Kluyveromyces lactis: one gene and its partners. The protein of the gene in region 1 interacts with the protein of each later gene in a pairwise test. Links are inferred from orthologs where the notes say so. Each region holds a gene or a part of one and is shown on either strand. Other genes may lie near its edges. The genes, in order: PWP1, BRX1 and CIC1.

The links.
Region 2: the proteins of PWP1 (region 1) and BRX1 interact in binary tests that used the Saccharomyces cerevisiae proteins (3 or more experiments, as listed by UniProt). The link is inferred for Kluyveromyces lactis from reciprocal best matches to the Saccharomyces cerevisiae genes PWP1 and BRX1.
Region 3: the proteins of PWP1 (region 1) and CIC1 interact in a protein complementation assay, tested with the Saccharomyces cerevisiae proteins (2 studies listed by BioGRID). The link is inferred for Kluyveromyces lactis from reciprocal best matches to the Saccharomyces cerevisiae genes PWP1 and CIC1.

The regions. Positions count from the first base shown.
Region 1 is NC_006041.1:1,731,961-1,743,128, reverse strand, and holds PWP1 (rRNA-processing protein PWP1), read left to right. Parts: upstream 1-7,702; coding exon 7,703-9,421; downstream 9,422-11,168. Other genes in the region: UGA3 (Uga3p), read left to right, coding at 1,215-3,260; UPS1 (Ups1p), read right to left, coding at 3,648-4,172; NCW2 (Ncw2p), read right to left, coding at 4,665-5,267; glycylpeptide N-tetradecanoyltransferase NMT1, read right to left, coding at 5,770-7,113; UGX2 (Ugx2p), read right to left, coding at 9,651-10,208; KLLA0_E19471g (fatty acid desaturase), read left to right, coding at 10,757-11,168.
Region 2 is NC_006041.1:1,573,552-1,583,763, reverse strand, and holds BRX1 (ribosome biogenesis protein BRX1), read right to left. Parts: upstream 5,031-10,212; coding exon 4,134-5,030; downstream 1-4,133. Other genes in the region: AVO1 (Avo1p), read left to right, coding at 1-1,120; KLLA0_E17821g (S10 family peptidase), read right to left, coding at 1,214-2,689; MDM20 (Mdm20p), read left to right, coding at 5,643-7,955; alpha-1,2-mannosyltransferase MNN2, read left to right, coding at 8,863-10,212. UniProt on the Saccharomyces cerevisiae protein: Required for biogenesis of the 60S ribosomal subunit.
Region 3 is NC_006042.1:2,030,614-2,041,321, reverse strand, and holds CIC1 (Cic1p), read left to right. Parts: upstream 1-7,056; coding exon 7,057-8,187; downstream 8,188-10,708. Other genes in the region: YPP1 (Ypp1p), read right to left, coding at 1-1,171; TMA22 (Tma22p), read right to left, coding at 1,604-2,206; COX6 (cytochrome c oxidase subunit VI), read left to right, coding at 4,258-4,701; ELF1 (Elf1p), read right to left, coding at 5,639-6,154; KLLA0_F21824g (transcription activator GCR1-like domain-containing protein), read left to right, coding at 8,773-9,603; KLLA0_F21802g (MATE family efflux transporter), read right to left, coding at 9,803-10,708. UniProt on the Saccharomyces cerevisiae protein: An adapter protein that specifically links the 26S proteasome to its substrate CDC4 which is one of the substrate recognition subunits of the SCF E3 ubiquitin ligase complex. Required for turnover of cell cycle regulatory proteins CDC4 and GRR1.

The DNA of each region.
Region 1 (11,168 bases):
CCTCTTCTCCCAATGAGAATTGGCGAATCGATTCTGATAACAAAGCGGAGACTCAGACTGGGATTGGGACTGCACTAGATGGAATCCAGCTTTCACGGGATGAACCGATAGTCAAATAAAGATGACTGCTGAATAACGTGCTTTGAATAGCTCTTTTCGAGCTTGAAAATGGCGTAGTTTTCAGACCCAAACGTATTTTTTTCAGAAAACACCGCAGAAGAAAAAACAAAAAGGCATACTTGGGATTGATAAGGGGAGGAGGGGCTACAGTGCGTTGCTGATGGTGTAAGCAGGCAAAGTGACATTACGTTACCCGGTCGTATAGATAAGAGAAAGGATTTGGGTTCCCCACTCTCCGAGTTTAGGGGCCAAGTCAGTTTCGATCTAATCGGACCAATCATATCGAGGTTGCTCGAATTTGCTGGCAGCGGGACGAAGGTGGGTGAGAAGTGCTGGTGACAAGAAGAAGAACAGGGAGGTAATCATCGATCACGTGAATGATATACATTACGTCAGCCGGTATGAATCCGGGTAACAAGCTTGTACCTTGACGCGTTACCCAGACTCATGCATTTTTGATCAATGCATTCCAACGTAGAGAATGGTGTTCAAACCCTAATGTGTTGTTCCTAAATATGAGGCATGCGTTCCTACATGCGGTTCTGCTTGGAATTCGAGAACCCGTTCGTATAATACCTCCGAGTACTGGGTACGTTTTACTTCTACACCCGGTACCACATGTATATATTTACGTACTTATGTCACTGATATCTACATGTAAATTCAGAATAAGTTACAGTACATCATGAGCTAGTATACGGGAATTCTGCCTCCAATGGTCCCTCGTACCTCTTTTGTTGAAGTTGAGTCGTCGTTCATTATTTGTTTTAAGAAGATTAAAAAAGCTTTTTGATGGCTTGAAGTTAAAGTATCCAAGTGGAGCATGAAAAAGAAAGAAGGAAGTGAAAAATGAAATCTGAATGTCATTAGACAGACGTAAGGTGGAATTTGGTTACCTCTAGCCTCGGAGTGGTTCGTCTTTTATAGTAAATCAGAACTGCTCGGGCTTGTTTGCTTCAACTGAAAACCACTTATTTATTCCATTAGCACCGACCCCTGATTGGTTCGAAAGTGTATAGGTGGGCACACTACGTTGCTGTTTAATCGATAGATTTCCCACAGTTTTCAGTATATCCTGATCGAACGATAAAAAGATGGCTGTTGATCTTTCGGAAGGAGAGCCTAAACGTAGGCGTCATTCGAAGAAAGGATGTCTTACTTGCAAAGTACGGAAGAAAAGGTGTTCAGAGGATAGGCCAATTTGTAAAGATTGTGCAAGGCTCAGTTTGGATTGTGTGTTTCCGGACAATTTGACTAAAGATCAGATAAGAGCTTATAAAGTTTGGTTACAAACTGAATTGAAGAAGAAGAAACTCAAGGTAAATGCTGTGATGTCTATTAGCAGAGACTCTTCTTCTGCAGCTGGTTCTTCGACTTTGGTAAATGGACATTCTCCTTTTACTGCGGCAGTGGATGCGGTCGGAGTTCATTTGAATAGTTTTATGTCAAGTGGTATGGCTATGTCAAACTCCCATTCCCACTCCCATTCACATTTACACCCGTCTCCTAAATTGCCTGTAATGAGCCCGTCCATGCTGGACATGGTACTTACTGAGATTGAATCTGATGGATCTTACCCTCAACATATGGGCTCATTACTTTCACCAGGGTTTAGTGCCCTAGATAAAAGTCAAGAGTCTCAGCAGGACGACGGCTCTGAAGATATAGATCATACTACGGCTATTGCTCTTGTAGATGATAATAAAACTAGCTTTTTGCAAGATCTACAGAGGAATACAAGTTCCAGCATCAATGCTGGAAAACTGAATGAGGAAGGTACAGATATAGTGAAATTGCAACGAGTCCAGTTTCCTGATCCGTACATGTCACATCCTTTAACAGAACCACTAATGATGGAACTGGATGCAACGGGACTGCATCTTTACAACTATTATCGTGATCATTTAGCTCAGGTGATTTGTATTGCACCAGCAAGGCAAAATTTTTATCTCCAATGTTTCCTTCCTATGGCACATAAACATAAGGGGATTCTATATGGTATTCTTGCATGGGCTGCTCATCACCTTTCCATTTCTAAATCTGTGCCAGCGCTGGATGAAGGTGGTGCTTCCACTCGACTTATAATAGATAGAGACTCGCGTTTCTCAAAGTTGGCCAACAATTACACATTAGAGTCGCTACAATGTTTATATGAACCACAGCACCAGCAATCGCCATCATCATTTTTATATTCCTTGGCTCAAATTTTGGTCTTGTGTGGGGCAGAGATATGTCAAGGGGACGTTAATAGATGGCAGATTTTACTACAAACCGGTGCCAAATTGATTAAAGAACATATTGGTGGTTCGAATTTGATTTCGTTATTGACGGATGATAACAGTTCAAAGTTCGACGCCATCGACTTGATGACCAGAAATTGGTTATTAGCGAATTTCATATACCATGATATCATGGGTTCACAGACCACAAAATTCCCCATGAACCAATATGAAACGTTATTATTATCTTCAAACCCAAATTTCACTGATTGCAATTTACAAGTCGATTCCCTACATTTGTTGAATAGGCCCATTTTCAAAGTATTGGGTGAAACTACAAATCTGATAAGGCAAATGAAATCAGAGAAATTGAACGTGTCTTCACAGAATTTCAAGACTATTATGTTCAATGCCTTGGAACTAAACCAACAGTTATTAAATCTCACGCCAGATGAAAATGGTCTTGACATTTTATCGCATTGTACAGAAGAGAATGACGACGAAATAAACTATAGGGAGCTATCCGAACACCTTTTTGAGATTTTCAGACTTTCGGCGTTAATACATTTAAAGATCAATTTTTTGAAGGTTGAAAACAATACCTTTGAAATAGTGTTTTATACGAAAACGCTACTATCAAAGCTAGATCTTGTCTTGGGAACTAAATTGGAATCGTCGCTATGTTTTCCGATGTTCATCTGTGGGATCAATTGTTTGGATCAGGATAGGGCCATAATTGAGGATAAATTCATACGGTACATTGATACTTACAAATGTCGTAATGTGGTTCGTGCACATGACATTATGCAAAATGTCTGGAAGATGGATGACGAAGGAGAATCTATAGGGTCCTCGGGGGTTAGAGAACGTGATTGGATAGATATTTGTGACGATATCGGATGGGATATAAGTTTTGCTTGAGAGAAAGGGAGTGACCCATTCTCGGTTCAGTCATAAATATAGATTCAGATCAAATGTAATAATATACAAATATGTAATAAACGATTTAGTTTCAAAGCAAGTAGACTATTTACAATAATGAGATCAAATAATACTAACAAGGAACTTGCCCTGGTATATTGATAAATATGTGATTAACGTTTAGCTCGTCATTTTTTTTACTGGTTGATCTGCTCTGCTTCTTGTGATATAAATAAAAGTCCTGGGAGGTTAAAAGATAAACCCGACGAAGTAAATTGAGAGTCCATGTCTCTAGTATATATATTGTTTGTTGTTCGATGCTTGTATGGTAGTAAATGCAAATAAATAACTGGAAAGCAGAAGGAGAATAGGCCAAATAAACCGTTTTCAGCTCGAAGTTTTGTTTAACGAGAGATCCAGTCTTTGCAAAACGAAAGTCATGCCCTTCCTGCTCTTCTGAATATTCTCATCGAACTTGCTATGTGACCAGCTCTCGATTCTGTTTCTAATCCCAATCCCAAATCCACTACTGAACTTGACCATGGATTTCACCTGAGTGCTATTCCCGTCTTTTTCAAACCTAGTATATTCTTCCACTTTTATAATCTTCGTATGATCTAAATTCCTAGTATAAGTCAGCATTTCTCCCTTCTTGGTATCGACCACTGAATGTTCAATGATCCAGGATTCAGATATCTTTCCAAGAAAAGGTTTCACCCAATTGGGAAGCTTCCCCATCTTTTTAATCAATCTAATAGATATAAGTCTCCCATCATCATCGACACGTCTAGAAAGAGTGTCGATACTCAAAACATGAGAGGCATATGGGTTTGGGTATCGGTTAAAAAATGCTATGGTGACAGCATCGAATGAATTTCCAAACGTATGTGAATTATTATGCCAGAGGACCATCGGAACAATCGAAAGGTTAAAAGATAAAACGTTGAAATGATAGTTGCCAGAACCTTGATACTGATCTCCCTACCTCAATTAGTTCCGGTGGGCTTAAATGTAATATGAAATAGTAGAATGTTAATGACAAGTGTGAATCCAAAAGCAGACTTTAATTCATCACCAGTTACTAAGGTATCACCATCTTATAAATACTATCAAGCTTTTTTCCGTATTTCGAATTTTTTTTTTTCAGTTTCTACCGACATGAAGACCGAAAAAAAGGCATTCGCTTATTCAGTCACACAATCAAGCCGTCACCCTAATCACTGACTAAACGAGTCCATTGTCCGGAATTACGATGAATATTTGAAAACCGCTGGTAACGGTTCTGGTTGAGACGATGCATAAAGTGCATCGATTCTACCTGCAAGAGATACGATCTATGTCAAAGTGTTGGCTTCTCCAATATTGAACTATATACTGCTCTATAAAATGTATGCCTAGCATCTATCATATTATCAATGCAATAGCTGCACCCAGGTAAACCAAGTTGCTTGATGAACCAAACTGATTCATGTCCCTGTTCATATTGAAAGCACCTCCGTTAGTGCTATTTACGTAAGCAGTTGTCTGTGTTGACGAAGCGCTGCTTGCCGATTGTGACAGAGTAGCTGTCGTCGAACCAGTCTCAGTAAGGGAAGACGAGGGGAGCCACCAAATCTTAGATGTATACGTTTCACCTGCGGAATTTGTGGTGGTGAGTATAGTTATTGGTTCATCGTAGTTTCTAGTTGACGTGGCCAGCGTATTGTCTACTGAAACTGTATTGCTGGCTGAGGTCTCTGCCCATACACTTGCTTGGGAAGTCACGTGATTAGTATTACTGGTCGTTGCCGATGTAGTAGCGGTTTCAACTGCAGCAGCAACGTAGGAGCCAGTAGTCTCTTGTTGCGAATATGCTGCCTGTTCTGGTTGTTGTGAGGCTGTTGCTTGTTCTGGTTGTTTCTCAGATTGCTGTGCATCATCATCTAGAGAACCTAAAACTGCTGCACTGGCAATACGTAGGAAGAAAAGTGTCACTAATATTTCAATAATTCTGTTATTCATTGTCATTGTCAGTTTGGATTACCGCTATAGATCTGCTATTTTTAACATTAAAGTCGAATTAAGGTTGGTAGATACTCGCCAAGATACTGCTGCTTATATACCTTTACGTTCACTGATCACCTCAACGTTTCCCTAAATACCATTTTTTTCTTATGCCGGCAGGTACAGCCTTTAATTTCAGATTTCTTTAATTAAAACCCAGCATAGTAAAACTCAAGTAGTAATGAGAGAGGAGGCTGAATAATGAATTAAGATGCCCTCTCAGAGCAGGCTTATCATTTAGTGAGTATAATGCCTCAATGATGATCTCCTTCTTGAAGGGACATCGAGGCAACTTCTTCTAAGAAGCTGACTATTAGGCTTTTAAATGCTCTTCCAATTTGTGACTGAAACCTGCCGTCATTTCATAATGAAATGTGACATTGAGATTCTAAATCTACATACCCACATTGCATGTTTCAACGGACAATATCAGAATATATCTTTTTTAAATATCTTAAACATTTATTTACAGTAAGACAACACCAACATTACTACGTTTTTCCACGTCAAAGGTCTGGTCTTCCTTGATACCACCAGTGATTGGGAAACATCTATAATTGAACAAGTAGAAGTTTAAGAACCCGTCACCAGGCCCGAACTTCAAGTCTTCCAAGAACAACGCATTATCTTGGGAAGTTAGAGCGTTGAATACGTCCATTTTCAAATTACGAGCTAAAATACATGCATCGTTGATCAACAGATTCAATCTCTTTCTTAATCTTTCTGTGCCCTCTGCGCTAAATCTGTCGTATCCGAAGTCGGCATCAGAAGCATAATAGAACATATAACCAATTCCCAAATCCTTGTACAATGGGTTGTTGATGATCGTGAACGGCAAGGAGTAAAACGAGACGAAGTCTGTCACCTTACCCTCGTCGTTTTCAATAATGTAGGAATATACAACATCTTCTCTGGTCAAGATCCAATGTCTGAACTCTTCTTTATCGAAGTTTGGTCTCAATTCAAATCTTTGCTGGTATTTATTGAAAAGTTCAAAGGCCTCATCAACGTGTCTTTCCTCCATTAGTTTAATGTTAGAGATTGGAGTCTTTGGTAAAGTATATTTAGCAATCATTTGGGTTTTGGTAGCGTTTGCTGGCAAAGCAGTAAACTCAACGTCGTATAACTTTGACCAGTTTAGTGGTCTATGAGCATAACGGCATGAACTGACTGGCGAGGGCAAAACCACACCACCAGTGTGCAAGGCTTGCCAAATATCGTACTTATTCACCCTTCTGGTAACTTCTTTGATTAAAATTGGCGCCAATCTCTTTGATCTCAACTTCTTGTGCACACATAAGAAGTTAATTTCGACACTACGCACATCATTACCTCTAACTTGTAAGTTGGTTGGGATAGCGCTGATAAAACCAACAAGTCTCTTGGTTTCTTTAACCCTGACACCGACTTGCCATTCCTCTTTCCAGCCAGGTGGTTTCAACCCCCAATTCAAGAAATCACGGGAATAATTGAATCTGAAGGTAGAGTCTTTGTCCTCGACATAGTTCTCATTCAATAACACGTATACGTCTTCCAACTGTTTTTCGTCATTAACGTCAACGGTACACCACTCGAAATCTCCCAATAATGGCAAGGGTGTGTCTGGAATATCCTCTGGTCTCTTACTGGAATCAATAGGCCCCTCTTTCTTGATCACTTCATCAAATTTAGTAACCGGCTGAGTCTTCCAGAACTTATACTCGTTCATATCCTTACGTTGTTGAGAGGTGAACTTCGACAAATCACCATCATGGACCTTCAAAAGTTTCAACAACTCTTCCAATTTCTTAGATTTATCTTCTTCAGACATTGTGATATATTATTTCCAGCGGAAAAGACGCGCGTTCGCAGCTACCTTAAGGTCGATCGGGGCAACAATAGCAGTACTAACAAAAGTCAACCGCTGTATCGCCTATTGTACTTCTTTTGAAGTCGTTTCAAATGTCGTTTCCCATATTGACAAATCCTAGCTCAACGTTTTTTTTTTTCAGATTAACCTGAGCGGTGTCATCAAGTCGCACATTTTGCAAACAAAATTACATATTAATGATAGAGAACATTCGATTCAAGATCATCAAGCTGCTATGACAACTATCATAAGGGCTTAATTGTTTGAGATTTATAATTGCGGCTTAACTGCAGTTGTAGATGCCATTAACACCTTATTCCTTTCCGTCTGCGCTGTTTCAACAGGGGTCGAATCCATCTACTTTCTTTTTTCTTTCGAGGTTAGCGATTCGAAAATTTTCTAACATGAGATGAGATGAGATGAGATGAGATGAGATAGGTAGTTGATAAAACTGGGACTGGTTTATGGTTTATAGGCTGTTTGTATTGATACAGGGTGTTCTTATATACCAATTAATCAGTGTATTTGTTTGATAAGTGGAAGTATCACCATGTTGTCTGCTACTTCGTGGGTACCAAGAGGGTTCGCGAGTGAATTTCCTGAGAAATATGAACTTAACGATGAAGAGATGGAAAGGATTAACGAGTTGGCCAAATTGAATTTAGATGAGGCCAAACATGATTTAGAAGAGGCTCAGGAAGCTGAAGAAGGAGGTGAAGAAGTTACAGAAGAAGTGGAAGAGCCAACTACTAATGGTAACGCATTGAAGGACCAATTGGCAGTTGATGACGATTTGAAAGAATTCGACTTAGAGCATTACGATGATCCAGAAGATGAAGCCAACGCCCAAGATGCCATGTTCATGGGTTTATCCGAGGAAGTCAAATTTTACGAGGGTGAAGAAGGTGAAGATCCTTATATTTCCCTTCCAAAATCAAAGGATGACGTGGAAGAGAAGCAAGAATTACAAGTTTATCCGACTGATAACATGGTCCTAGCTACCAGAACTGAAGATGACGTTTCTTACTTGGACGTATATGTGTACGATGATGGTGCCGGGTTCCACGATTCGGATATTCCATCAGAAAAGGGTGATGAACAAGATCCTGATGTGGCGCGTGGTTTAGTTCGTGATTCTTCGTTGTATGTACACCACGACCTTATGTTACCAGCCTTCCCACTTTGTGTTGAATGTTTGAATTACAAGCCAGGTTCAAACAGTGATGAAACTGTTGCAAATTTCGCTGCAGTGGGTACTTTCGATCCTGCCATTGAGATTTGGAATTTGGATTGTGTTGATAAGGCTTTCCCTGATATGATTCTTGGTGAACCAACAGATAACTCTATCGCCTTACCAACTAAATCAAAAAAGAAGAAGAAGAGCAAAAGCAAACATGTGACAACACATCACACTGATGCCATCCTATCTCTAGCACATAACAAACAGTTCAGAGCAGTTTTAGCCTCTACATCAGCAGATCATACTGTCAAATTATGGGATTTAAACACAGCAACCGCCGCTCGTTCGTTAATCAACATCCATTCAAATACCAATGTGTCAGCATCGCAATGGCATCCATCAAACGGTTCTGTGTTATTGACTGCTGGTTACGATTCTCGTGCTGCATTGTCCGATGTGAGAATCGAAAACGACAACGATATGTCTAAATACTGGAACGTTTCATCCGGAGAGGAAATCGAATGTGTCCGTTTTGCTGATGAAAACATCTTCATTTGCGGTACTGATAACGGTAACGTGTACTCTTTTGATATTAGAAATGGTGCCGAATCTAAGCCAGTTTGGACTTTGAAGGCTCATGATGCAGGTGTTTCATCTGTCGAAATCAACAGACATATTCCAAATATGCTGTTAACCAGTGCTATGGGTGAAAAACCTGTCAAATTATGGAAATGTCCATTAGACGCAAAGCCTGGTAAAGGTCCAAGCATGGTACTAAGTCGTGATTTCGGTGTAGGAAATGTATTAACCACTTCATTCGCACCAGATATTGAAATTGCAGGTAATATGGTTGTTGGTGGTGTGAGCCCCGGTCTAAAATTATGGGATGTGTTCACAAACAGATCTGTTAGAAAGAGTTTCCAACCAGAGCTTAAAACCTTACAACAACGAGCAAGAGAAGAGGCCATAGCTCTGGGGAAAAGTTCAAGAATCGCTAGAAAGTATACCAAAAACGACAACCCAGAAACTGTGCTCACTGTGGAGGATCAAAACGATGAGGAAGAAGACGACGAAGAAGATGAAGATTAAATTCTCGTCACACAGTTTCACTATTGTACAATATATAATGCATATTCCTAATTCTCTATAAGGATAAAACAGAATTAAAATGAACCTCCAGTCAAAAATCTCTAGACTAGTTGCAACATAGTACGTCCTTTCTAGGTTACTTACCCATTAATACATTTTCGGCGGCGTATATATCCTGTATGAACATGTACTAATAAAAAAGAGACATTCTGCCAACGAAATTTACAAATTATGATCTTACAAGGCTTTTGAGGAGTTTGTTCTCCAGAGTTTCTGATTCTACATCGATAACGGTCACTTCTGTACGTTTAAAGTTTCCCTGTTCCCTATCAGCAGAAAATGATATACTTCTGTCGGATTTACGTCTTGGTCTAATAAAAGCATCACTGATCCTTCGATAAACCTGCGGAGAGTAACGGTAGTGTGTATTTGTGTCTTTGGAGGAAAGAGTAATGGGCCTGCCATCATGATCCATATTTTCATCTTCGTTTTCACTAGTTTTTTCCGTAACTGCCTCTTCCTCGCATTTTAACCCTTCAATTACCGATTCAATGCTGTCAACATGACCGTCATACACAACTTGACACATTTGCTCGTATCTAGTAGCAAAAAAATCTTGATTCCAATCAAAACCCTGTGAATGAGCCATCGAAATCACATACTGAATCCTTTCAGAAGAACTATTGCCATTATTATCATATCTTCTTGATCCGTAGCTGTCACTGACTTCATAGGCGATCCCTGTTTCACTAGCCAACATGCTAGATGATAGATAAAACTCCCTCATAGAAAAACACAAAGTAATTGGGTAATGTTCAGATCTGCTGCAGATTGGATAAACTTTAGACAAAATATAACTCAACACACCGTTGCATTCGGCTTCATAACAAGATACCAGTTCTTTATATTTCAAGGGTTTTATGCCTGACTCTTTAAACCTCTAAACTACATCATCGGGAACAAAAGACTTTTTATCACGTGACAGTTGGTTCTCATTCGTTTAAAGGGGAATATTCATGATATTTGTTACCCGGAAAATTCAGTAAGTACACCACAGTATAACGCCCGTAAGATAGAATAAATATTCAAATATGTATATGGTGATCTATGAAACAGCCACGTACAATATGCAAACGAAGAATAGCTGTATATCGGTTTTAACATATCAGTTCAATGCAATCATAGTTATAGTACAAGTAGATATAATATTGTGTTTCAGGTACACAAGCCCAATGGAAAGAAAATTAACTATCTAAGCCACCTGTTTTCGTTGATACTATTTATCAAATCATCGAATCCTGAACTTGAAAGCGTCAAGAGCTAAAAGACTACAGTATGAGTAGAGTTTTGAGCAGGCGAGATATCGCTGATAGGATTGCTAAGGGCCAGACGATTGTAATATATGAAGATTCGGTCCTGAACCTGGATAAATGGATCAAGTTTCACCCTGGCGGTGACAAATCTATTTATCATATGATCGGTCGCGATGCGACCGATGAGATGAATGCATACCATGACGATCAGACCATAACAAAATTTAAGATATGGAAAATTGGCCGCATTGATTATCCATGGGAGAATATGCTGCCTCCGATTCAAGGTGGTAGGTTTTCGAAGATTGATGAGAGGGACGACATCGGTGATTATGACATCAATCTCACATCGAAGTGGAGATCTGTCGATGAATCCAATCAATACACTAAGATACCTAAAAATGATAGGCTGGCAAGTGAAGCTGAGGTGAAGA
Region 2 (10,212 bases), about 160 kb from region 1:
GAACGATGAACAGTTTGAACGGAATGAAGAAGAGACACCCTTACCAAGTGTCATGACCGATGACTTCGATCAAGAAGATAGCAATGACGGGCTGTCTCATCTCAATCAATTAAGTTACTACAAATCGATTATTCCCTCTAAGAATACACAAATGTCTGATTCTGGTTCTAACTATGTGAATATAAAAGTGTTCTTGTATCCTAATTTGAATCCTCAGTACAATTTCACAAACATCAGAATACCTGTGACTTCCAAGATTAACGAAGTATTAGTCAATTACTGTAAGTTGAAGAACCTCGATCCAACGGAATACGTATTAAAAATGGAAAAGAGAAATTTAATTCTTGACTTGAATGACTACGTTACAAGCTTAGATGGTAATTATAATGTGGAACTGTTGAAGAAGAAGGACGCAAGAACGAAAAAATTTGAAAGAATGAAAGCCGTTACCAATCAACCTGTATTACCAACAATTCAGAGTACTGAACTAACACCATTAACGCTAACAATGGCAAACGATAACAGATTGTTGAATAAAACTCTACAGGAAGAAGAAACTTCTGCTAACAGTGGTCGACCAACCTCGAACAGAACAAGCTCAAAGAATTTATTCAGTATCAACAAGCAGCATAACACATCTTCCTCTACCTCTGGCTTTTTTAAACTCAAAAATTCCTCAAAATCTTCTCTCAACAATGGCCAGAAATCTCCTAAACTTGGGAGTTTATCCAAACCATCAAATAACGTTTCTGGAAATAACAGTTACAAAGATCTCTTTGCTGGTTCCTACTATAAATATAAGGTATGGAGAAGACAACAAATGTCATTCATCAATAAACACGAGAGGATGTTGGTCATTGATGGTGACTACGTTTATATAAGTGGGCCTGATGGTGATTTCAATTGGACACACGAAAACGTCAAGACGAAATCGTTCCATATAAGCCAAATTACCCTGGTGAAAAGGTCTAAGCGCGTTCCAGAATATTTCAAGATTTTTGTTCACAGACCTGATAGAGAACGGAGATATTATTTCGAAGCTGTGTCGGCTGAAGAATGTGTGGAAATCATTACTAGGTTGCAAAACCTTATTAGAGTGTACAGAATGAATCAAAAGTGAACAATTGCGAAAGAAATGATAGATATGCAACAAACTGCATACAGTATATACCTCAGGGTGCTTGTATTTAAAATTAATTGTAAAGAAATATGCTTATATTCTAGATCTCTTTGCGATATTCTGAATCCATGAATTCACCATTTGTAATGAATTTTCAGGTTGGTCGTGAGGAACCATGTGTCCAGCATCATAGATTCTCAAGTAAGTTAGCGGGCCATAAGATTTGGTTTCGCCAATGGTCTCATCTGTTTCTTCACTCTTCCAAGTTCTCAAAACTTGTTTTTTATACTCTTCGTTATACCTCCATTCCAATTTTTCAGTCCAAGCGAGATTTCCTAGCCAATTACAAATATAATCCTTATCGCCTGCATATATCAAGACATTGATATCTTGATCAAGAAGTTCTGCGACGTACTGGTGGAATGGGCTCGGTCCATCGCCAGTGAATGCGAAACCGATACCGACATCCGAGCTACAACCTTGGAAAGAACTCACATCAGTCCCTAAAGCTCTTTGAACTTCCTCCTGATTCAAGTAATCAGAGATATAAATTTCTTCCTGATAACAGGCACCGGAATCATCCTCTGCTTCACACTTAGATCTAATATCGTAAGGGTTCCTACCTGATTTCTCATAAACCCCAGTAATCTGTTGTTCACAATAACGGTCAGCCAACACACAAGAGAAAACAGAATGGGACTTGTAACAGCGGTCCACAAGCGATAGGCATAGAGGTAGATTCCTATTCATATCTAAGCAATCTTCCGGTTCCAACACCGCTGGATAACCACCTTCACCACAGGCCATCGGCTCGTAATATTGGTATTGAGTCAGTGGGTCAGTAAATCCATTTCCAATTAATACTGACGATAGATTGAAGGAGGAATCCTCAGCATGCACTACAGCAATCTCATGAGCAATCTTGGGTAAATAATGACCGGCGTATGATTCACCGGAGATATGGAAATCGTTATTTCTCAAATGAGGGAATCTTTCAAAGAACAAATCTAAGAATATGTAAACGTCTTTGGCAGCGTCATCTGTAGTAGACACTTTAGAGTCACCGTATGAGAACCCAACACCAACAGGCTGATCTAGGAATATCACAGAAGCGTTGGAATTCCAAGAGTAGGGGTTATAAATGGGTTTCAAATCAGCTCCTATAGAAGAAGGTCCCAATTCAAAGAAAAGACCGACGAAAGAGGAACAGCCAGGACCACCGTTTAACCATAGTATCACTGGGTCATTCTCTGGGTCATTTCTAGACTCAAAAAACCAATAAAAGAAGTGTTTTGAGTCCTGGTAATCTAAATATCCCGACCATTGTTTCACGGTATCAACGCCAAGAGATTTGGGATCCAAAGGTTTAATTCTCAATGAATAAGCGTCGTCAATATTTGAGCTGAAGACACTAAACTGAGTGTTATAATTTGCAGTTTCATGATCCTCGATGTTGTTATTCCCGTCGAAACTGTTCGAGAATAAACTATCAACAACGGCATTCAACGAGATGGCTAAAGTGACAGATAGCCAGCCGTATAAAGATAAAAGAAACTTTATCGAAACCATGGCAGACACCGATGTACTGACTACTACCCTGAATATACGGCAATGGCAGTCTGTAGACCAAATACTAAGGAGATGATGGAGTAAGGGTCACTGAAAACCCTTTGTTTTAAAGAGGACTATTCATATTTTCGAAGTCAGTACATTCGATACGATCGGGTAACCACCAATACTATTGGCGGTAATATATCATGAATTTGTAGTTCACGTGATATTCACGTGAATGGCCGTTTTCTAATCTTTTTCACCTTCCGCGTCATCTTAGAAAGCATGCTCGAAGAGCCATGAAAATGTCAAGAATAACTCACCTTCTAAGAGCCGTTGAATTGTCGTATTGAGACCATTATGTGTCCATTCTATTGTCTTCCGTATCCAGTTGACAGAATTCAGCAGTAAACATACGTTAAACTGTGTGTACTCTCTGGTTTTTACCAGTTTTATACGAGCTGCTCTTACATGATTGGTCCAGTAAACTGTGTGAGGTGTATGGGTGTGTTGAAGAATATGCTACGTCTGTTTCTGAGCGATTTACTCTTAAAAAGCGTGTAAAGCAGGATTTCCTTTCTCAAAGCTGAAAAATTTCAAAGTTTCGAATTCTTCTCACTAGAAAGAACAAGGCGGTTTTGAGCGAACTTTTGCACTGGATCAGATGCGTTATTAGTGGTATCCTATACACCTTTGTTCGAGATTCACTCTGTTAGAATATAGACCAAGAAAATAATTTGATATACGATGAGTGCTGCATACACAATTTTGGGTAGAACTGTTCAACCACATCAATTGGCCCTAGGGACTTTAGGTGCTGTATTATTGTTGGTTATTCCAAACCCATTCAAGTCTAAGCAACCAGCCAAGCCATTATACTCTACTTCCTCTAAGGGTGAGGAAGATTTCATCAAGGCTTACTTGGAAAAGCATACTGCCAACGCTGAAAAGCACTAAAGATAAAAGTCAGGACATTTTTACTTCCTTATTAATTCTACCCACTTGACTGTTCAATTCACGTTTCCTGAAAATTATACAGTATGATTTGTTATTACTACGCATAACATCTTCGTATTTGGGGAATAGAAGAATGCAATGGCATTGGGCAAGTAAAATATTAATAAATCTATTAAAATTCAAACAAATGATAAAAAAAACATTTCAAACAGCACACTGTGGTTCACACCAAATGTAAAAACGTTTTCCCCATGACGTTTCATGACGCTTCAAGTTTAACTGGTATTCTGGCCCCCCAAGTTAACTAAATAAATTAAATATTCATGTACGACTTTAACGTATAGTATAGTTAGGAATAAAACGAAAAATTATATTATCAAAAACAGCCCATTCAAAAGCATATATATAGGAGTATACATATGTACAAGTCTGAGCAGGAAGAACGCCGTTCTCCTAAGTTGACAATATATAAATCATGATTTTTTCTAGAGTTCTGGATTGTACTTTAATCTTTGAACAATGCATCGTTGGATAATGGATCTACAGCCAAGACACTTTCTCTCTTCTTTAGTTTCCTTTCAACAGCAGCTTCGGCTCTGGTCTTAGCTTCCTTGGCAGCCTGTTGTTTAATTTGAGATCTAACGAAGTTTGGCGATACGTATTGTCTGTTTTCGTAGATCTTTGGACCACCAAATGAACCTTCAAGGATCAAAATCGGTGTCATCACGAAACGTGGGCCAATTTCAACTAACGACGTTTCATCTTCTTCTTTATCCTCATATTCAACGTTGTTCCTAGCTTCATGCGAGATCTCATACGTTCTTACCCAGATCTTTTCGTCAACTATACTGAAAGACATGATATGGTCAATGAATGGCTTGGACTTTCTAGCTTGAGGTGGTACACCGAAGTTATGGATAAAAAGTTCTTTAATTAAACGGTAGTGCGGTTCAGAATCAAATCTACCATCAAATGACAATATTGGTCTGGATCCCTTCAAACAGTTGCCAGTGAAGTTTAATTCGTCCATGGTATGTAGGTTCTGCAAATAAAACTTGATTGTTGGTCCATTTGGTGGCTTTGATAGCCATAGGTACAAATCCTGGTGCTTTCTAGCTTCAAAGAATATAATGTTATTACAGTTGTACAATTCCGCAATCTCATTCAATTGTCCTAGATCCTTCTTCGTGTCCAACTTAGGTTCCTTTCTCGAATGTGGTAGAAGACTGTTCAAATCCTGAACCAAATGACGATGTCTATAAGTAACACCTCTGGACGTAATAAGTAAGGTACGTTGCTTATTCATGAACTGTTTCTCATTACTGTCACTGTTAGCCGCATTATTTTTGTTCTTCTTACCGTCTTTATCCTTACGAGACAAAGTCTTGAAAATACTCGACATTATAGAAGGATTTGCTTAGCAGTTCTTGGCTTTTTCTTCCTTCCAACTACTCAAGTGTAATACAATAATCTCAAAGTGTTTAGACCGACGATGTATAGATTGGAAGGATCAGGACAACCTTGTTCAATACCTCTTCTCATCTCATCTCATCTCATCTCATCTCATCTCATCGCCTTTTCTAACTTTTCAAAAATTTTCAATGTACCGAAAAAGAAACTAAGGCTCATCAGTGATGATTTAAAATAGAAAAGGATAGTTTCTCGAAAAGAAAATGTTCGTATCGTCTGCCAACTGGCTTCTATCAGATTCAACGCGGGTGGGGATTGTATGGTGAGGTCTTGCGTTTATATTTCAAGCAGTAAGAGCGCTGATGCCCTTGTTAGGCTGTGCCGTTTACATTTATGGATACACATACAGTTATAGTTTATTATCCGGGTAATCAAGACTGAAAAATTACGATATTGGCTTAATTCAGCATTCAAACTTCTAATGAACAACCTCATACGCACGTCGTTCGTAGAACAACCCGGTATGTCTGGCAGTAACGGTGTTCGTTGCTGTTTGATCTGTTAGATTTGATATCGACCAACACGAAGAGTGGAAACTGTTGATATGAACTCTGAAGATCATCAGCTTTTTCAGCTATTAGATAGGGAACTGTTTAAGAAAGCTTCACAGTTTGTTGCATCATTGCAGAAACGGTACCCATCCGCCACTTATTACAAAGTGTTAGAGCAATATGTCAAGTACAGGCAATCTCCTGCGAAATATAGTTTTGAAAATGGGTTAAAGTTGATCTTGGATGCCAAATCTCCTCCAAGCGATGCGAAATCGCTATCAATGTGCCATCGATTTTTGTTGGAATTAGGTTTTGACACCACCAGTGCATTGGAACCTTATGAAAGAGCAATGATGAAATACGGTAATTCGGAGACATGTTATGATTGGTTCTTGGAGTCATTGAGGGATTTAAATTGGAGACATTTGAGTAAGAGTAGTTTCCAGATGCCACGAGTCAATGAAAAATCGAAATCGAGATTGTTCCAATTCTGGAACAGTATTGCTACTGTAGTATGGTTTCAGTTGGATAAAGATAACATTAACGAAAGGGAATTGGATCTTTTACCTAAGTTGACATATAAATTGACAAGCGATTTGAAACCTTTTGAGAATGAGCAAGAGTTGATCGTTTTCTGTAAAGTTTGTGAATTGTTTGAGGATAAATCACAGGAGATCGTGGACGAGATCCTCAAGTTTTGGAAACATGGTACTTACTTAGACCTTTATTTGAAAAACTTCCTTATGGGCCATTTGGTGAAATTAGACGATTATAAACTCATTTGGAAACATGGAATCTCGTTATTGAATAACCTTGACGATTATGGTATTTTGCAAAAGATTATAGATGCAAGTTACAAACTTGGCAAGTCATTCGATGAGTTATTGGAAGTTTTGGAAATCAAGAATACGAGAAATTACATACTAGCAAGAGTCGCAGCAGCAAAACTTTATGACGATAGGCTAGATCACTACCTGTTTCAGTTCATCGAGAAATATCATGATAAACCTAGTTGTCCAATCGATCTTCATAGCTTGGAATTGAACCCAGTGAAAATCGAGACCATGTTTTCAAAGCTGCCTTCGGGGCTGATACACGACAAAGCTGTTGCTCAATTGTTCGGCAAAGGTGATAATTTGGAATTGTTCTTGAAACATAAGGAATCTTTGTCAACAAAGCCAAAGACAGATTACTCTAACTGCTCGTATTTCATCCTTGAAATCGTGAAAGACCTATGCCAAGACTCCAAAGTGAACTTAGAGAACGTCATTACGTCCATTTCGCTCTTGGAAGGTTACCAAGCAGAAGACCCCTTCAACTATGACACCAGGGTATGGCTTGTTCTCTTATACATGTATCTGGGATTACCAGAGAAAGCCATTGCCCATTTGGAGACGTTGAACATCAAGAATGTTCAAAACGATTTGGTAAACCACTGGCTCTTCACACGTTCCTCGACGTTCCTGCCTAACAAGAACTACAAGTATTGTCAAAGAAGCCTACAGCCACAGGCGATCTATTCATCGTTAAAGAACATGAGTGGGTTCCTAGTTGCCTCATTTGAACGTAGAAGTTGGTGCAAAGTACCTGGAATCGTAGAATTTTACCAGAGGATCTTCCAATCGTTCACCAGGTGGGACGCTATGGTGGAAACGTTGCAAATGTCCAGGCTATTGAACGAGAAGAAACTTGACCAATACAAACCACTCATTGAGAGTTTGAACACGTTCGGCGAAAACAACTTCCACAACGAAAACTGGAGCGATAACAGAGATTTTGACATTTTTGGTACAGACGATGTGACCCGATTCCAAACGGTGCTTGCACCAATCCACGTCGGTACCAAATGGTTGAAGATCAGCATTACAAGAGAGTTGATCTTCTACAGCCTAACTAAAAACGAACGCAATAGGTTCATCGACGATACACTCGTTACCACAAACGATGAAGAGTTGCGCGAATTGATGTCTCAGCACGAACTATGGACCTGGCAACTCATCAAATTACTCTACAACTCCCTGGAAACAGAGGCCATAGACTACAAGGCCATGGCGATGCTAATAGAACAGTGTCCAGAAATCAGCAAGTCTACATGGGAATTGAACCATAGCTATTTAATCACCTTGGCAACGTTAAAGTCACTAGACCAAATGAAACGCATCAAGGACAAAAGCGTCAAGCAACTGATAAAGACCAAGTTAAAAGAGACAAGAGATACTTGCGTCCCGATGTTCAAATCGTACGCTGATATGGTCCAATCGGTTGGTAACGGCAACAAACTACTGGAAACGGTCTCATACTCAAAACTAACCGGTGACATTGCTACTGAAATCACCCAGATGTCAAAATCAATCCGTAACATATAGGGAACTAGATATCCTATACATACTAAACACCTGAGATACCAGGCACGTGTTACGAACGAGACAAAAGGAAAAAGAAAAACGGTTGCACAAGTTTTCCCTAAACGGTGCGCGAGCCTGCGAAGAAAGGTACGAAAAAGGGCATCGAGATATCAATAGGAACTGGGAAGATAAAAGACTTATCATTACTAATGACTTTGCACAGATAAAGTTGGAAGTAAAAATCCCCCAATTCACTCCTGTACTCGGTCTCCCCCCTGTACTGGAAACAAGACACGAAATAAACCGTAAACAGTGTATAATGTCATAGGTAGGTACGTAAATAAGGCATCAGGGTTCTGCACCGTCCGATTTTCCACGGCTGTAAATGACATTCCTTCGGCTGGAGATGTCAAATCTTGGCTCTGCTTAGTTTTAGCAGCAAAAAATCTATTTTTGAAATTGAAAAAAAAAAAACATCAACACAATTTCTGTTATATAAAGGCAAATGACAAAAAACAGTAATGTTATGGCGATCTTTCGTGGAGTTAATTGTTTAAAAGCGCGTTTTTTAATGCGTGGTAAGGTTGATATTTAGCTGTAGGTACAGGTATTCTCATACAATCCACGTTTCATCTTATTTGTGGTTTGTTCCTGTGTTGGATTTTAAGGGTCCAATACAAATTTTTTTTTGTTTTGTTGTTATTTAGAAACTTAACTGACAAGTTGTTTTCAATTTTGAGGTCGATATTCGAGTCCTTACGCGTTCGCTTTGATTATTGGCTTTGTTAGTGGTTGGCGAGTGCTTAATACACTTTTTTTTTTGTTCTTACAGCGTTTCTCATCGATTGAAATAAGAAATAATACGGGAAATAGTTGCCAAGCTCATCAGACGGAATAACATTCATCAAATTTTTTTTTTACGTCTGTTATGGTGTTTACTACGAAACGTTTCCAGAAAGTGTTCAAAGTGGTTGTTGCGTTTGCTTTAGCAGTCGTGGTGTTGAACAGTATCCATGTTTATTTGAAATCTGAAATTGCAACCAATGATTATACAAGTTCATTGAAAGAGTATACCCAGCAGTTCATTGAAGAGTATGAGGATACAGGCTCTTCGTACGATGATGCGAGACAGGAAGCGAGCCAACAGCAGGGTGACAAGCAAGGATCACAGACCAATACCAATGGTGATAGTAATAACAAGATCAATGGCGATAAAATAAAAAATAATAATAACTATTATAACGAAAATAATAATGATGGTGTTGTAAAGGATAACGTTGGCGCAAGTTCTACCCCCAGTTCAAAGAAGAAACAGGTCCAAGGGTTTTATGGTCAAGTTTTCAAGTATTTGAAGGAATTTGGTCCTGTTGGAGTTAATATTGCTACTTATAACCAAAAATGTAGTTTGAACGGTGATATTGGGTATAGGCAAGAGAACACAGACCAGTGGTGGAAACTTACCACTGAAGAGTTGAACAACTGTTTGCAACTTTCTCAAGAACAACGGCTGATGTTAAAAGAGGCCCATTCAAATTACGTTCATGCATTGAGTAAATTAGTGTTGCCCAAGGATACGTATAGTGGAGACGGTATAGTGACAGTTGGTGGTGGTAAATTTTCGATGATGGCTTTCCTTATCATTAAAACGGTAAGAAATTTCGGCACAACTTTACCAGTAGAAGTTTTCATCCCCCCTAGTGATGAAGGTGACGACGAATTCTGTAACGTCTTGTTACCTCAGTATAACGCTAAGTGTATCTATCTGTCAGATGCTTTCCCACCTGACTTGATAGAAAAATCCGATTTCAAAGGTTATCAATTCAAATCATTGGCTATCATCGCATCCAGCTTCAAGAATTTGCTATTACTAGACGCAGACAATTTCCCAATCAAACCATTGGATGGGATCTTTGAAGAAAAATCCTATAAGGATACTGGTCTTATCCTATGGCCTGACTTCTGGAGACGTACCACACATCCATCATACTATAGTATTGCTAATACACCTATCTCAAGCGAAAGAATCCGTAACACCATGGACGATGTCACTCCGCCTTCAGTCTATACCAAGGATTTGAAAGATTTGTCTGACGTTCCGCTACATGATCTTGATGGAACTATTCCAGATGCTTCCACTGAATCGGGTCAATTGATGATCAACAAACTGAAACATTTTCCAACGGTTTTACTATCGTTATACTATAACGTTTACGGGCCATCGTGGTACTATTCTATCTTCTCTCAGCGTTCCTCAGGTGAAGGTGACAAGGAAACGTTC
Region 3 (10,708 bases), on another chromosome or scaffold:
AAGAATTCGATAGGTAAAATATCTGACTGTGATCTACCAAGGCTGGGAGAGAAGAAGCGCTAGTTTCGTATAACGTTTCCCATGAACTGGATAGAACAGAAGCTGTTGATGAGGCTAGACATAAGTCCAATACATCTGAGCTGCCTTCTAGTGCCTTTTGTTTTTCTATAATAGGGATACTGTACTTGTTGTGAATTCTTTCTAGCAACTTTAAGAAATCGGATGATACGTTTGCTGGCATGAAGAACGGTTCAAATGGCGTTTTACATGTAGACAGAATGAATTGGTACGATGAAACTAAGTCTAATAAGTCAGGATACCTTTTGTTAAGTTCGTAATATTTGTTTGAATAATTGACCAAATTGGTAAAGTTTAGAATGCTCCTCTTTAGATCGACCTTTCGATAAAAGAGCATTGCTGATTTTGCAACCGAAATACTTTGGAAACTTTTTTCCATACTATCAATGATAAATTGCTCCCATTCTTTCTTCACATTTAAATTATTTATTTTGAGATGCTCTTGTAGGACCATGTGGAATTGTTCTAGTTCAAAATTATTTGATTCATCAGCATTAGGGAAACGACTTTTCTTCAATAATGAATGGCTATAAGATAGAAGATTTGAGTCAGTTGCAGAACCATTAAGGGTCAAAAGCATCCATTGGAATGGTGTTTTTGGCTTAAAATGAGAGAGGTCCAGCCCTTTTATTATTGCCTGCAAATAATGCCAAGTTAAGCCATCAGAATATTTCGGAATAGTCCAGCTTTCAGAGGAAAACTCAGCTAAGTCGACATTTCCCTTATAAAATAGCCTTTCCAAATCTAGCATTCTTCCAAATCTATCGTATCCATTAACGCTGCCTAACTTCTTAGAGACGTACTGCAACCCCTTTTCCTTTTCATCAAGTTCACAGAAAACAATACCATAGATATTGTCCGCAATTGCACAGTGTAATTCATCCTTTAGAACGGGCAACTTCTCCACTTCAGATAAAAGGGCCGACAGTGCACTGAATTTTGTCTTTGTAGAAATGTTTATGTGATAATGGGCTCTATAATGAAGAGATAATAATTGATCCAGCAAAGCATCTGACGATTGAAAAACGCTTGAACCAATTAGTCGAGAATCTAAAGCATGATTCACCGAATCATCAATGTATCCTCTGGTCATAGTACAATTGACTTCCGAATGCTTCCGTGATTCAACCAATTGGTAAGCAAATACAAGAGTGCTCAGTGTATTACTCAAGGCTCTTTCTCTTGTTTACTCTCTGTGCTCGGTGAAAATAGCTTTTAGTTTATTTTACATTTTGACATGTTTCCTCACCATCTAACGGTGCATAATGGAAGTGGAAGTGAAGAAAAAGTGATCTTACCCGGATATTCTTTTGTAAGGTATTGCCCTTCCTCACCATGGGAGTATATTTATGGGAACCTAATAGCTACTACAGTTATTATATATGAGGGTATAGATATAGCATCTTACTGATGTTTAATTGTGCAGTTTGTTGAACGATGAATGCGGTATTATATAAATCTTTCTACCTAAGAGGCTAACATAAAGTTATGACAAAAGGGTGTCAGCTAAATGTGCTTCTCATAATCATTTCTTATTTTCGGATCCTGGTGTAGTTGTAGTTTCAGCTTTTTTCTTCTTCTTCGCGGCATCGATTACTTCTACCTTAACTTCTTTCATACCTTTTTCCTCTAGTAAAGAATGTATATATGCTTCTACTTCATCTGCCAAATCACCTTGAACAATCACTTCTTCTTTCTTCTCGGCATTTTTGGAGATAGAACAACCTGTAGCAAATTTGGATGCAAAAGTTTTGGAAAGTTTCTTCATGTCAATTTCGAAAACTTCTAGTCCAGAGATAGCAATCATACACTTCCGTTTTGTTCTTGCTTCTCTTCTGATCACAACTTTAGACGATAATTTCTTAGCCAATTCTCTTTCCTCTCTAGCCTGTTGTTTTCTTTCTAGTTTCTCTAGGGCCTTTTCAAGCTTCTCCTCTCTTTCATCACCAATAGATGATTCTGCCAATTGTTTAGACACATCTTCAGTGACATCGCCATACCATTTGGTGTACAATTCTGGGTGGTTTTCTTGTAACCAAGCTTTACAACGTTTGAATTTACCGGAAAATTCACAGTATTCAGCAGGAAAGTCACACACACCACAGTATATAACGTTAGTGAGAGGCATTCTGTATATTCTTCTGTCTCTTTAATTAATTCTAACGTATAAATCTCAAACTGAATCAAGCGTAACTTAATTACACGTAATGTTATTCTGAACACACCTCATCTCATGCATTAGTGATTTTCTGTTTCAATATTTTTTTCAATATTTCACTGTAAAGATCGATTCACTTTCTTCAGTAACTACGTAATCTACTACTTACATATACTAAGTGTTTACTTAGACATGCACAAATAGCGGCGAACTTTGGTTACACTCACACTGAATACACTTCTTTGGAATGGCAACGTATGATGATTTTGCTACTGATACTGTAATAATAACGTCAAAGACAAAGGACGTGTGCTCCAAGCCCTTGTTTGATGAGATCGTAAATAAGGTGCAAGAATGTGTGGTGGATACTCGACAGATTTACGGTGCGGATGCCGTGCGTGTCATTACACTTCCTGGATTCAAGAGAATATTGGTAACATCGCCTAATATTGAGGCGAGCCGTGAAGTGAAATCCTTGAACCCATTATTCCCTGATTGTAAATTTGGGTTCTCCATCACGAATCACGTGGCTGAATCGAATTCACAAGCTGGATTTCCACACGCTGGCGCTGACACTGTGATGAATCACCTTAAAGTTCCCCCTGCCCAGACATTATTTCTAGTGTCTCCGCCAGCGTCACCTCCTCCGGGATTTGATTACTCTAGGCTTGAAGAATGGCCTAATCGTAACACGGGACATGAAGAGGCTGGTGCAGGTATCGACGATGATTCAAAACCTGCTGTTCGAAAAGTGTTTGACAATGGACATACCCGAATAATAGTTGAGGGGTCTACAAACTCTGAACCAAACCATACGGCTTTGATGCAACATATCAAGACCGCGATGCCACCTATCTCAACGTTTGACGATATAGAGGATTAACTATCGCGTTTAGAGACATAATAACCCGCAGTTTTCTGCGGAGATGAGGGATCGAACAGGGGAACCTGCCTACCGAGAAAAAAAAAACCTTTGAAACCACGCGACTTCCGGGTAATTGTATTTGTATTGAAGTCACGTTCTCCCGCTGTCCTATTACCCGACTATGTGGTAAAAATCATCGGTGACGAACCAATCATATGCCAATACGTTCTCCTTCCCCACAAACAAGACACCCTACAGAACGGTCGGACCAGTCTCAATCAATGCCCATTACCCCCCAGCATATTTCACGAATGTGTTTTATTGGATTCTATAGATACTGCTTGTGGGGTTTATTATCACGGACTTATTATCTTGTTTTATAGGACATTATTTCGAAGATTATGAGAGTTAAGGTTTCATTTCCTTTGAACATGAGATCTTTAATCTGACATCGCTCGACTGAAAAATGACAGGCAGCAGAAAGTCAAGAAATACTCAATTCAAATAATTAAAATCGAACTAGATAAACGACTTGCTCGTAAGTACCACATGTAGGATTTTTTGGAGTGTGAACTTTTGTTGCAACTCTGCCGATGAATTATGTTAGCCCTCTTTTTTTCTTCCATCCATTTTCCATAGACACACTATTTAAAAAACTGATAATACCACTTTTTTGTAAACTACTAAGAAGATGATGCATACAAAGAATAAGATACAATAAAAGTTGTTTCGAATGGAACGACTCACTCGAGGTTCAAATTTGTGCTATTCGTTTCGCAAGTTATTACTCTTACTTTCCTTTTAACAATCTCGTTTTTATCTAGTTCAAAGACGTAGCTATCCACTAGTTTAAGTATTTGAACTGTTTGTTGATATTTGTCCTATGCGATTTTAAGTATTTAATTTTTTTTTTTTCATTCTTCATTACTTCAAATTTTTAAAAAAACTCCAGAGAAAATTATCGGTCGATTTACCTTTTACCTAACCTATTTGATATATCTTTAAAGCGTTTTACATTAAGTTTTAATTACAATAGAACTCGACTTTGAATCTTTTGTGAATACGGTTTGTTATAATTCCTTTTAGAATAGCTATTTGATCATCTTAATACAGTGAATCAAATCCAAATCCCGAATCAACCAATACAAAGAAAAATATGTTGTCCAGAACTTTGTTGAGAGCTGCTATGCCAGTAAGAGCCGTTGCTCCGGTTATGATGAGAGCTGCTGTTGCCCCAAGAGTTGGTCAATTACAATCTCAATTTGTTTCTATCAGAAAGTACTCCGATGCACACGAAGAAGAAACCTTTGAAGAATTCACCGCCAGATACGAAAAGGAATTCGAAGAGGCTTACGATTTATTCGAAGTCCAAAGAGTGTTGAATAACTGTTTCTCTTACGATTTGGTTCCAGCCCCAGCTGTTATCGAAAAGGCCTTGAGAGCCGCCAGAAAGGTTAACGACTTGCCAACTGCTGTCAGAGTGTTCGAAGCCTTGAGATACAAAGTTGAAAACGAAGATCAATACAAGGCTTACTTGGATGAATTGAAGGATGTTAGAGAAGAATTGGGAATTCCTTTGAAGGAGGAATTGTTCCAATAAGTGCATATAGAAGAACATTTAATCTAAAGTCACCGGCTTTATCATCTTCTCCCATACTATTTTCACTTTTTGAGAACCTTTCACTAGGAAGGAAAGAACAATACTTATCCACAACACCAACAACCAAATGAAACCAAAATAAATATCATCAAAAACTATATTTACGAACGTGTCCCATCCTATGACACCATATATTCTTGTCACACATTTGTTTGTTTGAGGAGGTTTTTTTGGTGCTGACTACTGGTAGTAGCAGATACGAAGACATTATTTATTTGCCAGGACATATACAGAACCGTGAATACAAACCTTCAAGAAACATTTACAAACAATTCAAATAAAATCAAGATTATTATTATTATTATTATTATCATCATCATCACAATTATTATAATTATATATATGTTATACTGACTAAATTATAAGGAAAAGTAGTTATATATCAAACAAACAGCTATTAACATACGCGTTTAGTCTATTTAGCGGTAGACAGAAAAATGTGCTCTTTTGTTTTCACTTGATCGTATGTTAGGTTATTGCACCGTTACGAGCAGAAGTAATTTTATCTTGTTTGAATTCATACAACTGAAGTTTTCGAGTTTTGTTATCTCGTGTATCACCATCTAGTTCAGAAATAATGCCACATTACTGAGAAGTTCGATATACCAAAGATACTATTATTGATGTAGAATTGATATATAAATTCTTCTGCAGTACAAACTGAATACTATCAACCGATGGTTAAAGCCAAGGTGAGCGTTATATAAATTCTTATAGGAAACAGATAAGATCCAGCAATCTCTTTGAACGTAAATATCAGCTCCTTTATACCTGATTTTATTCGTTCTACTAGTATATCTCTGGGTAATATATAGATAGATAGATACAATTGTAAGATTAATATTGGTGTTCGATGTCTGTGTTTCTGTCGGTTCGACTACTCGTCATCACTGTCCATCCATGCTGCTCTTCCTCTTTTGTTAGATATTTTACCGTCATCGTCTGAGTCTGATTCTGGTTCTGAGTCTTTTCGTTCGGTCGCTCCTTTTCTTCCGTAATCCGCATCTTCGTCTTCTTCTTGTTCTTCTTCTTCTTCTTCGTCAGAATCTATTCCAACAGCTTTTCTACGGTTTGAAGAAGGCTCAGTATCAGAGTCACTCTCGTAGTCACTGTCACTGTTTTCATCTTCAGATTCGCTATGTTTCCCTTCGTTAACTTCCTCAACCGCATCAAACCAGTCACTATATACATCTACCGGTTGTGATAGACCATTAATGCGGGTTTGGAACGATTGTCCACAAATCTTACAATGAAGCGAGCCAATGTTATTCTTTTTGTCCATTGTTACGCTCACAGAGCGTTCGTGATTACAGAAGAGACAATTGAATGCCGTATCTAACCTCTGTACTATCTTCTTGGCTGGACCTCTGGATGACTTCTTTCTCTTACCCATGTCTAATGCTCTTCTTATTTGTCTTGTGAGAGCGTATGCTTACCCCTGCGGCTAGATTTGATTAATATATGCTAATATGCCTTTTGCAGTATAAATGAACGGGGACGATGACTATGTTTACGATATAATAATAATAATAATAATAATAGCAACTTAATAACTCATAAATCAGATTCGTGCGGCGTATTCTCTGTTAAGGTATCCTTTATATCGATCGTGAGTCCTGTTTGACAGCCGAAAAAACCTAACTCAAAAATAGTACTGTTCCGAAATAAACCAGAGAAAGAAACCCTAAAATACACAGTTTAAGCCCTTTTGTATTGTAACCCCATTCACTGAACGTAGCCCGTTGCTCATTAGTAACTTTTGCACAAACACGCACCGAGATTCAATATCAGATTCGGTTACTCTTTATTTCTTAAGTGTCAAATGTTATCAAATTTCAAGAAAAGTTTCAAATCATATATTACGGCCTTCGCTTTCAAAAAGCAATATTTACTAACTACGTGAACACAGTGGAGCTCCTGCGAAACAGAAAATTTTTATTTTTGACAATAGAGAGCTCATCTCATCATAGCTCATCTCATCTCATCTCGAAGTATGTTGCACACCTAACACGATTAATAAAGTAATGGTATGTAAAGTATTTAAGTACCTATTCTTATTTCTCAGCTCAAAGGATTGATTAGATATATACTGGATATTTCATAGTTGCCAGTACGAACTCGAGAAGTAAGCTTACCTAGGTGAACCAACAATTTGTTGATCTTTTTCTGAGACAGTGCGAATCAAGTAAGTTAAAAAACGCTTGGAAAGAATCCAGAATATAGAGGAAATAACTCCACTCATCCAGTCTAGTATATCTACAAGCACATTATAAGCAATATCAAAGTTTAGATAATATGGCAACTAAAACTAAGAAAAGCAAGGTTTCGACCAAAGCCACCAAGGCTACTAAGGGCAGTAAAGAGGAAGAAGTCATTCCAGTTAACAGAGTTAACAATGCTGTTATTAAATTGCAAGAATATTTGAAGGAAAATGGATCAAATGACAATCAGTTAATTGATGATTCTGAATTGGAGGCTCAGCTACAGTTGATCCTAGTCAACACTGAATCTTTTACTGGTTCTTTGAAAAACTTCAAACCAAAACTAATTACAGTTCCTCATTCTATCTTCAAGCCATGGAAGGAAGCTAGCACCACCATGGTTAAAGATTTCAAGACTCTTTTGATTCTAAAAGATTCTGATATCAATTCAGTGACATCAGAAGACTTGATCGATCTACTTCCAGAACATATTACTATTGATGCCATCATATCTGGTAAAGATTTGAAGACAAAATACAAGGCTTTTGAAAAGAGGCGTGCATTTGTACAGGATTTTTCTTTCATTCTAGCTGATGACTCGATAGTGACAGCTTTGCCCAAGCTATTAGGTGGTAAAGCATACAGTAAGTTGAATACCACTCCAATTGCCATTAACACAAGATCGGATAACAAGTTTAACAAGACAACTTTGGTAAATAGCATCAAGAGAATTTATGATACTAAAATCCCAGTCAAACTTCCAAGAGGTAACACGATGAATGTTCATCTAGGTTCATTGGAATGGTTCACCCCAGAACAATTGACTGAAAATATCATTTCTGTCGCTAAACAGTTCATCGAAAAGTACAATATCAGAACCATTCTTCTCAAATCTAACGAATCACCAGTCCTTCCATTATACGTTAATTTGGAAGTATTAGACAAATTGGTTGGGTCCAGACATGATGCTAAGACTTCCGTTCAAAATGTCATAGAAATTGATGGTGTCGAATTGCAACTATCACAATTTGAGAAATCTTTGTTAGAAATTGCAAATCCAGACGAACTAGACTCCTTGTTTGCTACGCAAATTAAGCAAGCCAAAAGAAACTTGGAAGAGGTCGAGGCAGAAGAAGAGCAAGAAGAACAAAAGAAAGAGCAAACGAAAGAACAAAAATCCAGCGCTAAAAGACAAAAGACAAAGAATAAAAACGTAAAAAATTAGAGGTACAGGAGTATCGCGTTTTTTTTCATTCCTCTTTCTTAATTTCTATCCTTCACAAATATCGTCTTAAAACTTACCCATTTAGCATAGATTTAACGGCTGTCACCGCTCCTACAATGATAGTTTTCCCTACAAAATGTATTTAATCTGTACTCAAATTTTCCAGATAGCATCGATACTTTGCAATTCATAAAAGAATAACAGTAGTTAAATTCAGTGCGTTTTCGAACCAGCAGGAAAACGTTATTCCTAGTATTGTTTGGATGGTGCAAACCCATCGCCGCTCGAACAACTTTTCTGATGTGCCACATTTAGGTTTGCTGGTTTTTCTGTGTGGACTGGTGCGTCCATGCAGTCAGTGAAGGAAAAGGAAAAACGAAAAATAAAAGTGTCACAAAAAGATTTAATTACTATATTAAACATATGTCAAATATTATATAAACCACAGATTTCACAAACTTTCACATCATCACCTCTGTTATTCGTGCTTATTCGTAGTTTAGTATATACACTATTATTTACATCTGAATCAATTAGTATTTTCAAGTTTTGATTGCATTGCGAAGACGCCGAGAATCAAATGAGATGCCACAGAATATTGAACGAATAATTCATACATTCCAAAGCAGAGTAGACACTTTACAAACTGATTGGAACGTTTTATGCGACGCAGTGTGTAATAGCAAGTGTCAAAGTGTCAATGGTCAAATTGCCCTGTTAAAATCTAAGTTAGATTTAATACAACAACAGCATACTGGGATTATTGTTGATTTAGGAATCATTAAAACACATCTTTTAGCTCATGATTTGGATATGAATAACCAGTTTTTAACCGAGGAACAAGAAGTGGATTTTGACGTAAATAAAGAGAATGAAGATCCTCTACCTCTACTTGGAATTGATGAGACTGAAGCTGACATTTCGGAAGGGCCAAAAGTTTTCAAAGAAGAATTTAAAAATGAAATTCTTTTCAGTAGTCTCAGCAGAGAAGCGGAGAACGCATCGCGAGAAATGCCATCAAGGTACAAGGTAGCGAAATCACAACACTCGAGCAAAATCAGACCTCTCGGCGCAAAAGATCTGAACAATGTTGAGAACTATCACCTTATAATGACAGATTGTCCCAAAAGCGTCCATGACCTTTACCACGAGTTTTATACAGATACAAAGCTTCAGATCTTGCATTTCGAGGAGAAACATGGTGCAGGTCAATTGTCTAAATTACCCAAGTTGAGAACTTATCAGCGCCGCAGCGCATTGGTGAATGCTATCAACAAATATGCAAAGGGCAAAAATATAACCGTTGAGCAATCCATCGAACACTTCCAAGGTATTGTTGAGGAAAATGATAAAACCATACCATGGTTATATAATAATTTAGCCAAAATTTTGGAACAGTATGGTATTGTACAATAAAATGATTAGCAAACAGCTGACAACTCAATCCTTCAACTAGAAGATGTACTGTTAAATCTTTTATATCTAAACAACAAAAAAATAAACAGATAATGATATATGAAAAGTTCAATATAAGATGCATTGAATGGGGTTTACCTTCTTCCTAATTTATTAATGTACGATGGTATTTAGTCGATATGTGGTCTTTTCAGAGACGTTATACCATGGCACCTTCGCTATTTCTAGACTTTGCTGCACGGATAATATCATTCCAATTACAATGAAATACAGCATAGCTTTGGAAAATGCTCATGAAAACTAAACCAGAAGTGATACCCCACCATAATCCACTAACACCAAATCCGTAATGAAATGTTAGCAAATATGATACTGGGATACCTATGCAGTAAAATGCAAAAACGTTGATGTATCCTCCTATCTTTTGTTGGCCTTGGCCTCTCAAACAACCTGCAGTTGAAGCATTAAATGCATCAAAAATTTGCATGAAGGCCAAGATTGGTAACGAACTAGAAACCAATCTGACAACATCGGGTTCTGAGGAAAAAAGCCTTGCTATTAGGTATCTAGCTTTGTAAATCATTGCCATATTCAACGAACTAATAATAAACGATAGTAATAATGACACTTTGCAAGTAATTACGCAGCTTCGATACAAGGACGCACCAATGAAGTTTGCAACTCTAGTCGATGTCGAAATTGAAATTGAAAAGGGGACTTGATAGGCAAGAGAAGCGATAGTCGAAATAATTGATTGAGCGGCTAATTCATGGGTACCTAAATGAGATGCGAAAATAGTCAAAATTTCAAAACCCAAAAACTCAGCTTCAACCATGATAATACCAGGCAGTGCTAAGTTGAACATCTTTCGTGAATTCTTCAAAATTTGATGCGGTTTGATAAATCCATTCCAACATTTCATGGGATTTTTTTCATTTTTCGTGTATAAAGTGTAAGCAAACAACCCAAGAGCCATTAACCAATAATTCAATACTACACTAATAGGTGCACCAAGATATCCTATTCCAATATTTTTATCCCACACTAAAACATAGTTCATCAATGCATTAAGGGGAGCACAAACGAGAAGGACAATACTGGAAGC